Sus scrofa: one gene and its partner. The protein of the gene in region 2 interacts with the protein of the main gene of each other region in a pairwise test. Links are inferred from orthologs where the notes say so. Each region holds a gene or a part of one and is shown on either strand. Other genes may lie near its edges.

Evidence for each region. The genes of interacting proteins can lie anywhere in the genome.
Region 1: the proteins of UBE2K (region 2) and TRIM39 interact in binary tests that used the Homo sapiens proteins (3 or more experiments, as listed by UniProt). The link is inferred for Sus scrofa from reciprocal best matches to the Homo sapiens genes UBE2K and TRIM39.

Annotation. Positions count from the first base shown.
Region 1 is NC_010449.5:23,047,610-23,055,038, reverse strand, and holds the start of TRIM39 (tripartite motif-containing protein 39), read right to left. Parts: upstream 4,838-7,429; coding exon 4,385-4,837; intron 3,100-4,384; coding exon 3,004-3,099; intron 1-3,003.
Region 2 is NC_010450.4:30,884,933-30,892,521, reverse strand, and holds the start of UBE2K (ubiquitin-conjugating enzyme E2 K), read right to left. Parts: upstream 4,529-7,589; coding exon 4,466-4,528; intron 1-4,465. UniProt on the Homo sapiens protein: Accepts ubiquitin from the E1 complex and catalyzes its covalent attachment to other proteins. In vitro, in the presence or in the absence of BRCA1-BARD1 E3 ubiquitin-protein ligase complex, catalyzes the synthesis of 'Lys-48'-linked polyubiquitin chains.

The DNA.
Region 1 (7,429 bases), on a different chromosome or scaffold from region 2:
TCTTTCCCAAATATTCACACACTAGATTTTGTTATAAATTACTCTTATGTTGTTATGTCATATTTGGGCATGACGGCCTCCTTAAAAATCATATGGATATCGAGTTCCCATCGTGGCACAATGGAAACAAATCTGACTAGGAACCATGAGGTTGCAGGTCTGATCCCTGGCCTGGCTCAGTGGGTTAAGGATCCGGTGTTGCCTGTGGTGTAGATCATAGACTCGGCTCTCGTTGCTCCAGCTGTGGTGTAGGCTGGCAGCTATAGCTCTGATTAGACTCCTAGCCTGGGAACCTCTGTGGCCCTAAAAAAAAAAAAAAAAGCAGATAGGCTACTTTATCCATAATTTTCATTTCTGCATGGTTAATTACGAATTATTTATTTCTAAAAGAGTTTATGTGTCTGGAGGTGGGCATGAGGGAGAGAAAGGAGAATTCAAAAGTCTCTGAAGGAATGTTGCTGGTTGGTTGATAGTTTCAGAGACCATTGAAATGATAATTTACATTTTAAAAAGACACTACAGTTCTGTTCAAACATTTAGCACATTTAAAAAATTTTTATTCTTCTCTCCATTCTTTTCCTTTAAGAAGGTGATCAACAGGAAGAAGGAAGCTAATAACCAGGGTATAAGCTTTATTTTCACATATTTCCTTAGGGAACCCTCCAAAAGGACAAAGAACTTTTTTCGAAATGAACTAATTTTTCAAAATTAGTTCAAGTTCTAAAAAATTCAAATGCTTGTTTGTTAAAATGTATAAAGGACCAAGGTAATACTTAGTAATACTGAATAATACTTACTTCTTGTTGAAATGTTGTCATTGTTTTAAAAAAGTTAGTGTTTCTACTAATTTCAAACCTGTGTTTAATTTTTTGTGGTCCCTAAATATCAACTCCAAAAACGACTCATTATTTCTTCTAGAAATCTTTTTTCTTTCTTTCTCTCTCTTTTACTTTTTTTTGGCTGTGCCCAAGGCATACGAAAATTCCAGGGCCAGGGAATAAATAAGCGCAGCAGTAACCCAAGCCACTGAAATGACAGCACCAAATCCTTAACCTGCTGCATCACAGGAGAGCCCCTCTTCTGGAAGTCCTTGATGAGGTTAAGTTTCTACACTGTCTCCTTATGAATTTGCAACTGTGCTTTTTGTGCTATGTCATTTCTATTTTCTCCACTTGACTATAAGCTGAAGGACGGTAGGGACTGTGTTTTTGCTCATCGTTGTTCCCCAGTATCAAAGACAGGGTTTGGCCTATACTAGACGCTTAGTAAATATTTATTTGTTCGTTTTGTTTTTTTTTGGTCTTTTTAGTGCTGCTCCTGTGGCATAGAGGTTCCCAGGCTAGAGGTGGAATCGGAGCTGCAGCTGCTGGCCTACACCATAACCACAGAAATGCTAGATCCAAGCCACATCTTCAACCTACACCACAACTCATGGCTGTGCCAGATCCTTAACCCACTTAGTGAGGCCAGGTATTGAACCCATGTCCTCATAGATATTAGTCAGGTTCATTACTGCTGAGCCATGATGGCAACTCCTTAGTAAATATTTATTGATTCATGTAGCATTAGTGTCCCTGGTAATTCTCTGATGGCCTAGTGGGTTGAGGCTCCTACATTCTCACCACTGAGATTCTGGCTGCTGCTGTGCTCTGTGGTGTAGGTTTGATCCCTGGCCCAGGAATTCCCACATACTGCCTGTGTGGCAAAAAAGGAAAAAACAAAACAAAACAAAAACAACAACAACAACAAAACAAGAGAGAACCTGAAATAAATGTTGCAACTCACATTAAAAAAAGAAAAAAAACAAAGAATTTGCATCCCTGGTTTTGCCACACACTGGCTATATGATCTTGGACTAGTCACTTATCAAGTTCTGTTTCCTCCTGTGTAAACTGGGGATAACAATACTTACCTTACAGGGTCTCTAAGTTCACTCTTGCCAAATATGACTTCCTGGACTCCCTTCTTCTTATCTTGTACCTTCTCTACGTCCCATTTGAGCCAAGTCTAGCCTGAATTCTTAGAACTTCAATCCGGGCAGAACTCTAAGACCTAACACAATCCTGAAAGTTTGGAATGTCTTGGATACCTAATGAATTAATGCTCAGGGCTCAATAAATACTAGTTATTATTACTGCTACTATTAATACATGTCTCACTGTCCAATAGAAGAAATAGGACAGATACCAAAATACCATGCTACAAATATGTTAATGCTATGGAAGAGATGCAAAACTGTATGCAAATTAAAAGAGCCAATTTCTAAAGGTTCCAGAAAGGCTACATAAGCAGTGGTTTTCACCAATAGGATCCTACAGTAGAGGATGGGGAAAGGAAGACTATCCTAGAAACTAACCTCATCTAGCATTTTTGAGTTTACTTGAGTTAAGAGAATGTGGTCTAGAGGTTACTGGGCAGCTCCTCCATCCTTCCTCCCGAGTGCATCTTCCACATTCTTCTTGCCTCAATCCCTCTAAGAAACTCCTATCCCTGCCCACTCAGCAGAGAGCCTTCTTCCCTGCCTTACAAAGAAAAGGAGACCAACAGGCATGAACTCCCTCAACTCCACAGATATAAGATATTCTGTCCTTCACCTCTTCCATCTTTCTCAATACTTAATCCATGACAATTAATCTAAGTACAATGTTTAATGACAATCAAGCTTAATAAAAATACCATCATTTCTGAGAGAACAGCATTTTTCTTTTTCTTTCTTTTTATGGCCGCGTATAGAAGTTCCTGGGCCAGGGACTGAATCTCAGCCACAGCTGCAACCTAACACCACAGCTGTGGCAACGATGAATCCTTAATTCACTGCACTGGGCCGGGGATTGAACCCTTGCTGCCTCAGAGACAACGAGGGATCCTTAACCCACCGTGCCACAGCGGGAGCTCCGAGAATAGCATTTTTCTAAGGAACCAGAACTGGGGGGGTTAAATAATGTGTGGTTAATGTTTGGTTAACTGCCTGTAGAGCAGCCCAAATGGATCTCCTGCCTTTACCTTGAGTTCGCCAGGCTTCTTCTCCTCAGAGGACTTGCAGCGGGTGATCTCCTGTAGCTTCTGCTCCAGGGGCTCCAGGCACTTCTGCAGTTTTTCCTGAGGGGTGCAAAGTGGGAGAATGGCATTTGGGATTATCTGGTACATCCTATGTTCAGAAACTAACCCATTTGTTTTAAATCATTTGTTTTGCTTCCTATCCATCTCTTACCACCTCTTGATGCAACTGCCTTGTCTGTCATTTGGGGTGTCAATTTCCTACAGGTCCCTCTTCCTGCCACCAACCTGTCTCCATATCACTTTCTTTGTTCACCAAACTTTCCTTTCACTGAATCTCACAGTGTCCAGCTGTCACCAACTCTCTGTCCTTCTCCTGCCCTGTTCATTTTCTTACTCATGGAACTGCCTATTACTGTCAAAGTGACCTCCTGTCCCCTGATATCTTTCTTTAAATTGTTGTCCTATCCAACTCTAACCACTTGCAAATATAATACAATCTTGATTACTTATTTTGGAAACTACCATAAAATCTTATTTCTAAGATTTTACTAATATAATTGGTCAAAGTTCTTGATAAAGTGCTAAGACATTAAAATCTCGAGTTCCTATTACTCAAACATGTATCCTGGGTCCCAGTGGTAAGTTAATCCGTATACCATGTTATCTATCATCCAGGCAAGATGCAAACAGACTGGTTCAGCTTGGCCTGGTGGAGGTCATTCTAAAGTGATGTTATCTATGCCCAATACTAGGTTAAACAAGGGGCATGTGAGCAGGAGGAAAGAATGAAGAAACCAGACTACCTTTCAGTTCTTCCTAAATTTGATCTTCTCCATGCGGTTTCATTCACTTGTGAAAAACATAATACATTCCAGGACCACACATACGCAGATGTGTTATAAAAGTCAGAGAGAAATTTTGGGATATTTCTCATTGCTTTTTTTTTGCTTTTTAGGGCCGTACCTGCAGCATATGGAGGTTCCCAGGCTAGGGGTCCAACGGAAGCTACAGCTGCTGACCTATGACACAGGTGCAGCCATGCCAGATCTGAGCCGTGTCTGCGACCTACACCATAGCTCATGGCAACACTGGATCCTTAACCCTCTGAGCAAGGCCAGGGATCAAACCTGCAACCTCATGGTTCCTAGTCAGATTTCTTTCCACTGTGCCATGATGGGAACTCCTCTCACTGCTCTTCTTCATGCCTGAGGATAACTGATCAGATGTGCTGTGTGCCTAGTGTATGTAGCTCTGAGGGGAATACAGAGTGAGGACCAGATACCATCTTGCCCTCAGGAACTTATGATCTTCTACCCAGGGAATCTCTCACCCTCTGCACTCCTCTCCCTTGCCCTGCATTAGCATCATGTGTCTGGTTCCTTACCTTGTACTCCTGGGTGGCATCATCCAGTGGCACAACGGTATGGGCCCGGTGAGTGTGGGAAATTGCACATATCAAACAGACAGCCTCCTGGTCCTCATAGCAGAAGAGGCTGAGGGCCTCGTGGTGCTGGGGGCAGAGGCTCTCATCTCGGATCTTCCGCTTGACAGCTTGGAGCTGCTTGGCAATTTCCACCATACTGCCCAGCTGTCGATTAGGCCGGAGGCTGCGGTAGCGGGATGTCTTTCGACAGACAGGGCAAGGGAAGTCCCTCTCTAGGTCCTCCCACCAGCGGGTGATGCAAGCTTTGCAGAAGTTGTGCCCACACTCAATGATGACAGGCTCCTTCAGATACTCCAGGCACACAGAACAACTTGCCTCCACCTGTAAGTTCTCCAGCGCTGCAGCTGTGGAGGCTGCAGAGGCCCCGGCCTCTAACAGACTTGTCTCTGCCATTATTTAACTTGAAGTTAGGAAGGGGGAAGAGGAAAGAAAAATGTTAATTGGAGGTTTAATTTTTTGGCATCCCTGACCTGACATGTACGTCCATGTTAAACGCTAACTGCAGATTTAGTCCCTTCGTGGTATTTTACATCTTCTCTCCCACTAGTCAAGCTCTTTTGTTTCTCCATTTCCAAAACTTGTGACTCCCAGACATTAACTTTTTTTTTCTCTGCAGCAAACTGACATATAACCCTCAATCTCTTGTCTATTATCACTTCCTCTTGTTAGAAACAGAGGCCCCTTTCAACTTTAGCCCAAAGTACTTCTCCTGATTCTGTTTCATTCCATTTGTGTCTTAGAACCAATAGTTCCAGACCAATGAATTCCTGGTTGGACATACTTATCTTTTTTGGCTGTGCCCATGGCAGGTGGAAGTTCCCAGGCCAGGGACTGAACCAAAGCCACAGCAGTGAAAATGTCAGATCCTTAACTGGCTGAGCCACCAAAGAACTCCAACACATTTTTCTTTTTGCTTTTTAGGGCCAAAAAAAGAACTTCCACAGCATATGGAAGTTCTCAGGCTACTGGTCAATTTGGAGCTACAGCTGCCGGCCAATTATACCACAGCCACAGCAACTCTGAAGCAGAGCTGCATCTGCAACCTACACCATGGCTCATGGCAATCCAAGCAAGGCCAGGGATTGAACCTGCATCTTCATGGATACTAGTAGGATTTGTGTCCGCTGCGCCACAATGGGAACTCCCCGACATATTTTTTCTAATGGATGAGAAAGGAGTTTCAGAAAGTGGAATGTGCCATAAAAGTCAAGCATTAAGGTTTCTTTCTTTCTTTTCTTTTTTGGCTGCACCCGTGGCATATGGAAGTTCCCTGGGGCCAGGGATCGAATCCCAGCTGAAGCTGTGACCTATGCCACAGCTGTAGCAATGCCAGATCCTTAACCCACTACAGCACAGCAGGAACTCCTAATTAAGGTTCCTTAAGTATGCATTAAAGCGTAATGTTACAGAAGAGTTTTACTACAATAGCCCATTGGAACCTAAGCTTGATTCTCTGGCATTGTTCTCTCACTCTTTCAAACGGTAATAAATGGAGTGAGTTAGGCAAGGGTAACAACCTCTTTTTTTCAGAAGTCTGGAATTATTCTTCCTTTTAGCAGGCTAGCCTAGAGGAAGTGTGCTATCTTTTCGGAATGAAATGATTCATACAACAACTCATTTCTATTTGTGTGCATTTGGACTTTTGGAACTGCTAGAAAGTGATAAATTCATGGCAACTGTACTAGAAAGTCTATTTCTATTACTGAGCCCAGGGCAAGAACTTCTTGAAAAGACAGCTGACATGTCTATTCTAGTATTCAGCAATGACTGGAGTCTTCTGAAATCAACATCAATAACTAATTCCTTGGATGTACTGTACCTCCAAATAATAGGTTCTGGAGTGGCTGGGAATTAAAAGTAAAGAGGCAATCAAAAACTTCCTCAAACGAAGCCTTAAAAGAATTGCAAATGCATGTAAGAGATTTATAAACCAGAAGGCTGGTCCTCTACTCCACTTAAAACATCACCACTTTTATCCACGAAAATAGTTGATTTCTCTATCCCCTTAGCCCCTCCTGTGGACCCCCCCACACACACAGAGGACCCAAGAGAATAAATTTATTAAGTCTATGTGTTGAGAGACAAGTGGCCATGTAATGATTAGGGTTAACAATGATTATTCCTGTATATATTTATGGCACACGTGAAAAGTGTTTCATTTGGAGTAGGAACTGGTTAACTTGTTTGGACCTGAATTTCTTCCCTCAACCAGAAGTTCAGTCGGATGATTTTTTTCTACCTACAGGAATCCAACTTGGACCAGTGACTATTCACTTTCCCTAACCTTCTAGAAATTAGGTGGTCTCTTCACCTGGGGTGAGTTAAACTGTATGCAGAATTAGGGACCAGGAAGGATCTAGAGTGGTAAAGAAGCAGCGTGAGAGATGGGGAAAAGGTTAAGGAAATATGAGGAGAGAATTTGGAGCTACAGCAATAGTGTGGCTTTGGGTGTCTCTGGGTTGGTCATTTCTTAGCCTCTACTCCTCATATCTCAGTAGAAGGGCAAACTTCGGAAACGTCCTCGTTTTGTTTCTACCACTGTCCTGGGTCCCGCCGTACGACCCGCTCCTGAGCGTGGTCCACGACTCGGTCCCACCCCGTCTCCATTTCTCCCGCCAGATCTGGCGCAGGGGGACTGGAGAGGGGGAAAGGAAACGCCGTGGTTGGCAGGGAGGGAGGGATGAGTGTCCAGGTGAGAAGAAGGTGTGACGTGAAGGTGGGATGCCCGCCGCTATGACGCGGCCGAGACCCGCGGTGACGGCGTCAGAGTTTCACCCGGGGAGGTGAGCGGCAGCGGGACGGGGGAACGGCGGGGTAGCCAAGCAACGCCGGACGCGCTGACGTCGCCGGGGCGGCAAAACGTCCGCCCGGGCCCGAGGCGGGCGGAGGCAGCAGTGGTTACGTGCGGGGGGCCGGTGACGCAGTCGCGGGGCGCTAGGACGCGGCGTGCGCAGCCGGCCGGCGGGGGCAGGCCCCAGGGCCCGG
Region 2 (7,589 bases):
CTGCTGTAGTGCAGGTTAAATCCCTGACCCAGGAACTTCCACACGCCATAGGCAGAGCCAAAGAGGAGAAAAGTTTAAAACAAAAAGTTAATGATTAATTGATAAGGGGCAAAGTCTTAAAAACAAAAACAGAATGTTCAAAGCTAGCAGTAACCACGCTATATAATTTTCTGTATCCTTACTGTCCATTCATATTTTAGATAATTTATACTACATATCTTACATAGTTAACAGTCCTAAATGTTCTTCTAAAGAGTTCTGTCTATAGCAGTGGTTCTCAACATTTGGCAAAGTCTGGAGACATTTTTAGTCAATACAATTGACAGGAAGAGAGTAAGGAGGTGGGGGAAAGACTGGCTGTGCTACTGGCATCTAATGCTATTAGTCAGAGATACTGCTAAACATCCTACAATGCACAGGAGAACCACCCACAACAAAGAATTCATTATATGCCCCAAATGTCAATAGTGCCAAGGTTGGAAAAACCATGGTCTACAGAAACCAAGAGACTTTCTTCTGAAGATCTGCAACTAGTTCTATACAGAATAATCTAGATCAAATATATAAAACGTAAAATAACAATACAAAAATCCATTAAAATGCTTAAGAAAAACTTATACAATAGTAGTTTTCAAAAAATCAATTTGTTAATGCCGTTGATTTAAATACTCCTTGAGGATCCTAGAAATGTAGCAAAGCGAAGCTACAATATGAAAAAAACCTGCAGGTACCATACACAAGAACAAGCAAAAAAGTATGTACACTGATTTAAGGGTGTTTTACTTCACTGAGCCTTTTTTTTTTTTTGGTCTTTTTAGAGCTGCACCCACGGCATATGGAGGTTCCCAGGCTAGGGGTCGAACTGGAATTGGAACTGTAGTCACTGGCCTATGTCACGGCCATGGCAACACAAGATCTGAGCCATGTCTGTGACCTATACCAGAGCTCACAGCAATGCTGGATCCTTAACCCACTGAGAGAAGCCAGGGACTGAAGATGTATCCTTACGGATACTAGTCAGTCAGATTCGCTTCCGCTGAGCCACGAAGGGAACGCCTATTTCACTGAGCTTTGAATTTAAAAATATTTGGGGGTTTGTTTTAATGGCCGCACCCGTGGCATAGGAAGTTCCCAAGCCAGGAACTGAATTGGAGCTGCAACTGCAACCTATGCCACAGCTGCAGCAATGCTAGATCCTTTAACCCACTGTGCCACAACAGGAACTCTTAAAAGTATTTTGCATATTGAAATGCAAGCAAAATTTTAATTACACGTAACATTTATTTTAATGCTTAAACTAACAAGTTAGGTTGTGTTTAAATCCTTTAATCAGTAATACAAATCAGGCTCCAGTTTTTTCGGTCGTTTTAGTCCCATACCTGAAGCATATGGAAGTTCCCAGGCTAGGGGTCAAATGAGAGCTACAGTTACCGGCCTACATCACAGCCACAGCAACACCAGATCAGAGCCTGGGATCCTACACCACAGCTGATGGCAATGCCAGATCCTTAACCCACTGAGCGAGGCCAAGGATCGAACCTGCATCTTCAGGGATGCTCGTCAGATTCGGTTCTGATGAGCCACAAAAGGAACTCCAGGATCTTTTTTTTTTTTTTTTTTGGCCACACCTGTGGCATGCAGAAGTTCCTGGGCCAGGGACTGAACCCATGCCACAGCAGCAATCCAGCCACTGCAGTGACAATGCTGGATCCTTAACCTGCTGAGCCACAGAGGAACTCCTAAGAGGGATCTTCTGATGCCAGTTGCCCGGGACACCCAAGTCCCCCACCCAGAAGCAATCAACACTACCAATTTCTCATTAATCCTTTCACCTATACAAACAAATACACGTATCTCCCCAGAAATGGTGGCCTCCTCCCACTATTCTGCACTGTGCTTTTCACACTGATCTGGGAGGCTATATTTTAACAACACACTCCAAGAATGGCCACTTACAACTTCTTAGAGCCAGAATTCAGCAAATGTCAGTTATCTTTTCACAAAGGCACTTAAAAAGGCGCGGGGTTGGAGAGGAGTCCTTAAACCATTCCTAGTAAGCACAACCATATGAAATAAACTTTAGTAAAATGAAGATTTACATAGGTGACATGAGGAAATACTTGACTATCTGACAAGCCATTCAAATATTGCCTTTACATACATTAAAAAAGAAATACATGGACTGTATTATAAGTTCTTCAATGAGTTGAAAATAATATAATCCAATTATAGAACTGGGCTTATTAAAATATCAATGAAATAAAATATTGGTGAAAATAAAACTATTTATTGGTTATATTCCAAAATTAAATTACCTGACCCTTTTCTAAATGTTCTTTGCAACTTACTTTCTGGAAGATGTTTCCTTTCAGATTTATAAAGGCACTCTTGTTAAAAAAATAAAATGTTTGTATTTTCTACTTTCTTCCTCTGAAACACTTACTTGACAGCAAGATTTCATCATCCCTTACATGTAATTTTAACAATATGCATTACTAAAGCAATACAAGATTTCTTTTAAGCTTCAATTTAAGTACTAAGAATATTGTGAAAAGTCACCTCACAATATGCAATCAGATCATATGAATTACGAGAACAGTACTTACCACTTTTAAGTAACAGAAAATAAAGCGTTAAAATCTTATATTTCAGGCTTGTACAACCATATTAGAGAAATGTTTTAGGCTACTAGCAATATTACCCGCAATCTTCTATTAGGAATATATATGTCAACTATCCTGGAATATATTTTCTTATTAAACAAGAATTTAGAATCATTGTTTCATTGTATTGTCAGTACAAGCATTTATGACTCTATTTCTACAATGTACCACAAAAATACAAAGTCATCCTTCCATTCAGAGTTTTGGCACCTGAACAAATACAGAGGTCAGAGTTCATACACATGCTCGGTAAAACCAATTATTACTCACATAACTATTACATTCAATAAATCTGCTGGTGTTTGGCATTTTTTAGTAATTTTAAAGAATTTTCTGCAAGTCTAATTGGAAAGACTCGGTGGCACAAATATAGTTCAAGTGCTATCAGACTTATATCCAGAATTCATCACATACTTAGAATGCTAAATTTCACAAATCACTGAGCTCGTCAAAGTATTGATATAAGAGAAAAACACATATAGTAATGATACTTTCAATAATGGTGTGTGATATTTTGAAAATAACCATTCAATATGCTCAATCTTTCTTTGTTGAATCCAACAAGGAAAAACAACCTAGCATTCTCGTTGATTTGGGTATGAAAAATTACACTGATTCATAATTGAGTCAAATTACTAAATTACTAAAACATTTAAAACATATTAATAAATGTGGCCAACACTAGAGTGTTCTACAGGACTCAAGAGGAGCTTGAGACAAAAAAACTTTTTAATCCTTTCAGATAGATGTTGGGATAAGGAGATATAACAATGTATTTATTAATCTGCTGAAATGTCATGTTTAATAAGGAGATATAACAATGTATTAATCTGCTGAAACCTCATGTTTTTTTTAATAGCACTGTTTTTCAATAGTAAGAATCAAGTTAACTATGAGGGACATCATAATGAAGTTTCATGGCACAACACAGCAGTGTCACAGAGGCAATGTCTTAAAACAGACTCTGATCTGTAACTTGTAAACATTTTAAAATAAGCTACTCATACACTCCATTATATGTCCTAATCCCAGCTATAAATATTTAAATGTCTTTAACACACCAAACAACCTGCCTTTACCTAGTCAAAAAGCTTTAGGTGCCTACAAAAAAGAGGCCTAGGATTTGGGGGTAAGTGGAAATGAGATAATTCTCTAACATGGAATTAATTTCCTATCTCAAGTGGCAATGCCCTTATCCCCCACTTAAACAATATAGACAGTACCCCATTATGTCTTGCTCTCTCTTCCAACACCCAACTAAAAGGGAGTAACTCTGAACGGCCTTCTTTCATCAATACCTAGGAACTCTCATCGCTCCTTCCCTAAGGAAAGGACAGCGGCGGCCAGATCGGCTACAACCCAGAATACCCTTAAAAGTGAGGGCCTTTGAGCAGCGCAGCTCTCGGGATCCAGTTACCACCTTTCCCCTTCCCCCAACCTACTTCCCGGGTTTTCTCAGGCTCGGCCTGCTCACTCCCCACCCTACAACCACACTTCCAGCTGTTGCCACTATCTAGGGGCTCTTTCAAGAGCTCACACCCCGCGTCTAAGCGCCCCCTTCTCCATCTGCCCCCCCCAATCTGATTCCTCTCCAGATCACCCGCCCGCGAGACCGTCCATCCCAGGGCCCTGGAAGGGGAGGGGAAGGCGGCGGAAGGAGGGGGAGACTGCTGCTTCCCCACAGGCAGAAGGGCGGCCGCAAAGAGGGCCACTCGGGCGTTACTAGGGATATTGGGGACGCCAGTGGAAGGACCCTCCCGCCATGGGCTGAGGTGGGGGACGTTCGGGAGTTCATTTCTGACCTCCTCGCTCTTCAGCACCTCCTTGAACTCCCGCTTGATTCGCTGCACCGCGATGTTGGCCATGTCTCCGCCCGCAGCTGATTCGTACCCGCCTCCTCCGCCACCGCTACGACCACCGCCACCGCCGCCACCTCTTCCTCCACCGCCTCCTCCCTCGGCGATTCACACCAGAGCACACGAACGCTGCCACTGCCACTCCGGCCGCCGCGCTCTCCTCAGTGTGGAATCACCTCCGCGCCCGGCCACCAAAATGGCGCCAGGTCCGCGCCTGCGCACGACGCTGACCTGACCGGGCGGCGCAGCCGCTCCCGTTGTAGCCCCATACGCCTCAGCTGCGAACCCGCGCCGCGCCGCCCCGCGCCGCGCGTCTCTGCCCGAGCTGCGGCCGCGTGGCTCCGCCCTGCCGGCGTCTGAGGCCTGGAGGGTGCGGCTTCCGCGCTGGTCAGCGCTGCCCCGGCCTCCTCGGTCCTCTCAGGCGTCTCTGCCCCTCTTCGAACCAGGTGTATGGTCCAGGCTTCCAGACCGTGGCCTGTAACCGAAGGTTCGAGTCCAGCCTGACGGGTTCACGCGGCTCCACTCGGTTTGGAGCGCCGCCCTGACTCAGCCAGACCCAGAACCCACAGGCTTAGTGTGCCTGCCTGTGTTTAGTGTCTGAAAACACTGTCCTGGAATTCAGTCTGGCCTATTTTTTCTTGGTGTAGGCCCGGCAAATGCACTGAGGTTCATTTTTGTTATGAAGCTCTTACGGTGCTGCTATTACTACGATCATTCCAGGATCTTAACAGGTACAACAAATTATAAAGTTAAGTATGGGTCTCATCAATTTTATTTGAGACCAGTACTCCATGGAATTTAGAAGCCAGGTGTTGATCTTTGACCTGCTTAGGTAATTAATACCAAGCCCTGGAACTAAAACCATAGTTTTGGAACTCGAATGTACATTAGGATCCCTGAATAACTTGTTAAAAAATAAAAAGAAAACGGATTGCTGGGCCCCATTCCTAGAGTATAGGGTGGGCCTAATAATTTGCATTTGTAACAAGTTCCCAGATGCAGCTGCTCCTGCCGCTGCTTCTGGAGCCACACAGTGGGAACCACTGAACATGTGAAAATAGTTTATATATTAAAGTGAAAAATGGAGTAGTAGATGTTTCTTGGGCGAGAAGGGCAGCTTTACTTACTTAAACCTAGGATCTACAACTGTGCCTGGTGCCTATTAAGGCCCTTAATAAATATTGAATGAATAAATGAGTAACGATAAGACTAAAATGTTTTAAATGGAAAGTAAATTTGAAAGCGGTTGCTAAAGTTTCCAATAAGTAATATGGTTGTGGATTTGGGGGGGTTTTGAGTGTTTTTTTCTTTTGGCCGAGCCTGCGGCATTTGTAAGTTCCTGGACCAGAGATCGAACCCTCGACATAACTGTGACCCAAGCCGCTGCAGTGACAAGGCCAGACCCTTAACCCACTGCAGCACAAAGGAACTCCTAGGTAATATGGTTTTGATGCTGAGAGGTGCTTTGAATAGAAAACATTTTGTAATAAGTAATTATGTTTATTTAGAAGTTATATTAAAGTCACTTCTTTCACTATGTTTCTAATAGGATACTTTAACCAATCAGTAAAGTATCCTATTAGAAGAATATCACGAAATCACCGTCTCAGCAAAAATTACTGAAATTGTGGCACTGAAAAAGAAAGTAAGCACTTGGAGTGAACCACTCACGGAGGCACTTGGCAAAAATGAACTTATTGAACTACTGCCACGGGAACCAAGAAGGGATTTTTAATTCCAGCTCTCCTCCATTTCAGCTCTCTTGGCCAACCTTGGTTTCCTATTTTGCAGAATAAGGAAGCTGGATAAGATGATCTCTCTCAAGTTTTAAGAGTTCATTATTCTAAAACATCTGGGAAAATTTCCCTGAAGGGACTAACATAAGCTGTAAAACCCTTCCAGCAGAGCCCCCTAGTGGTTCTAAGAGGAACCAACTATACATGTGGGTCGTGGCACAATGAATTACTGGTATAATGAATGCATAAATCGTGCAATGCTATGTGTATTTATGCCGGCACATTAAAAATAATTATTTTGAAGTGTGAAAAATTTTTGAATACCTTATGCTTATCACCTTCATTCAGTCCCCAATGTTAATCTTGGAACTTTAAAGAAATTTACAACACTCAAATCACAAGTGGACTGGTTAGATGGGTATGCTAACTTCTTTGGGGAAGAGATGTTTGATAATTTTTATTTATTTATTTATTTATTTTGGTCTTTTTTGCTATTTCTTTGAGCCACTCCGGGGCATATGGAGGTTCCCAGGCTAGGGGTTGAATCGGAGCTGTAGCCACCGGCCCACGCCAGAGCCACAGCAACACGGGATCCGAGCTGCGTCTGCGACCTACACCACAGCTCACGGCAACGCTGGCTTGTTAACCCACTGAGCAAGGGCAGGGACCGAACCCGCAACCTCATGGTTCCTAGTCGGATTCGTTAACCACTGCGCCACGACGGGAACTCCTGATGATTTTTAAATGCATGTAGTCACTGGCCCTGAAATTCCACTTTCAGTGCATTTTTACATTTTATGAGGCAACCTCATACTGACTGATAGGAGACAATCCTCAAAATACATTTTAAGGGAAAAAGAGCATTGTGCTAAAAGCAATGTGATATCCTGGATTGGACCCTAGAACCAAAAGGACATAACTATTAAAATCTGAATAAATTCTGTAATTTAGTTTATAGTATTGTAGCAATGTTAATTCCTTAGTTTTGACAGGGTACTGTTTAGGTAAGATGCTGACCTTAGAAATGAATAAAGAATATTCAAATTCTCTGAAACTTCTCTGTAAATCCAAAATTATTCCAAAGGAAAAACTTTACTTTAAAAAATCACTGTTCAGTCCATATTGTGTGTAGCGTACCAACATATTTGTGAAGGAAGAAAGGAATATGCTTGCGTATGTGCTTGTGAATCCTTAAAATATCATTGGAAAAATACATCAGAAACCGACAACAGTGATTATCTCTAAGAAGGCAACTTAAGTTCCTCGGGGAAGGCAAAGTGGGAGACTTTTCAACATGTATCCTATTGTATATTTTACCTATTCAAAATTAAATT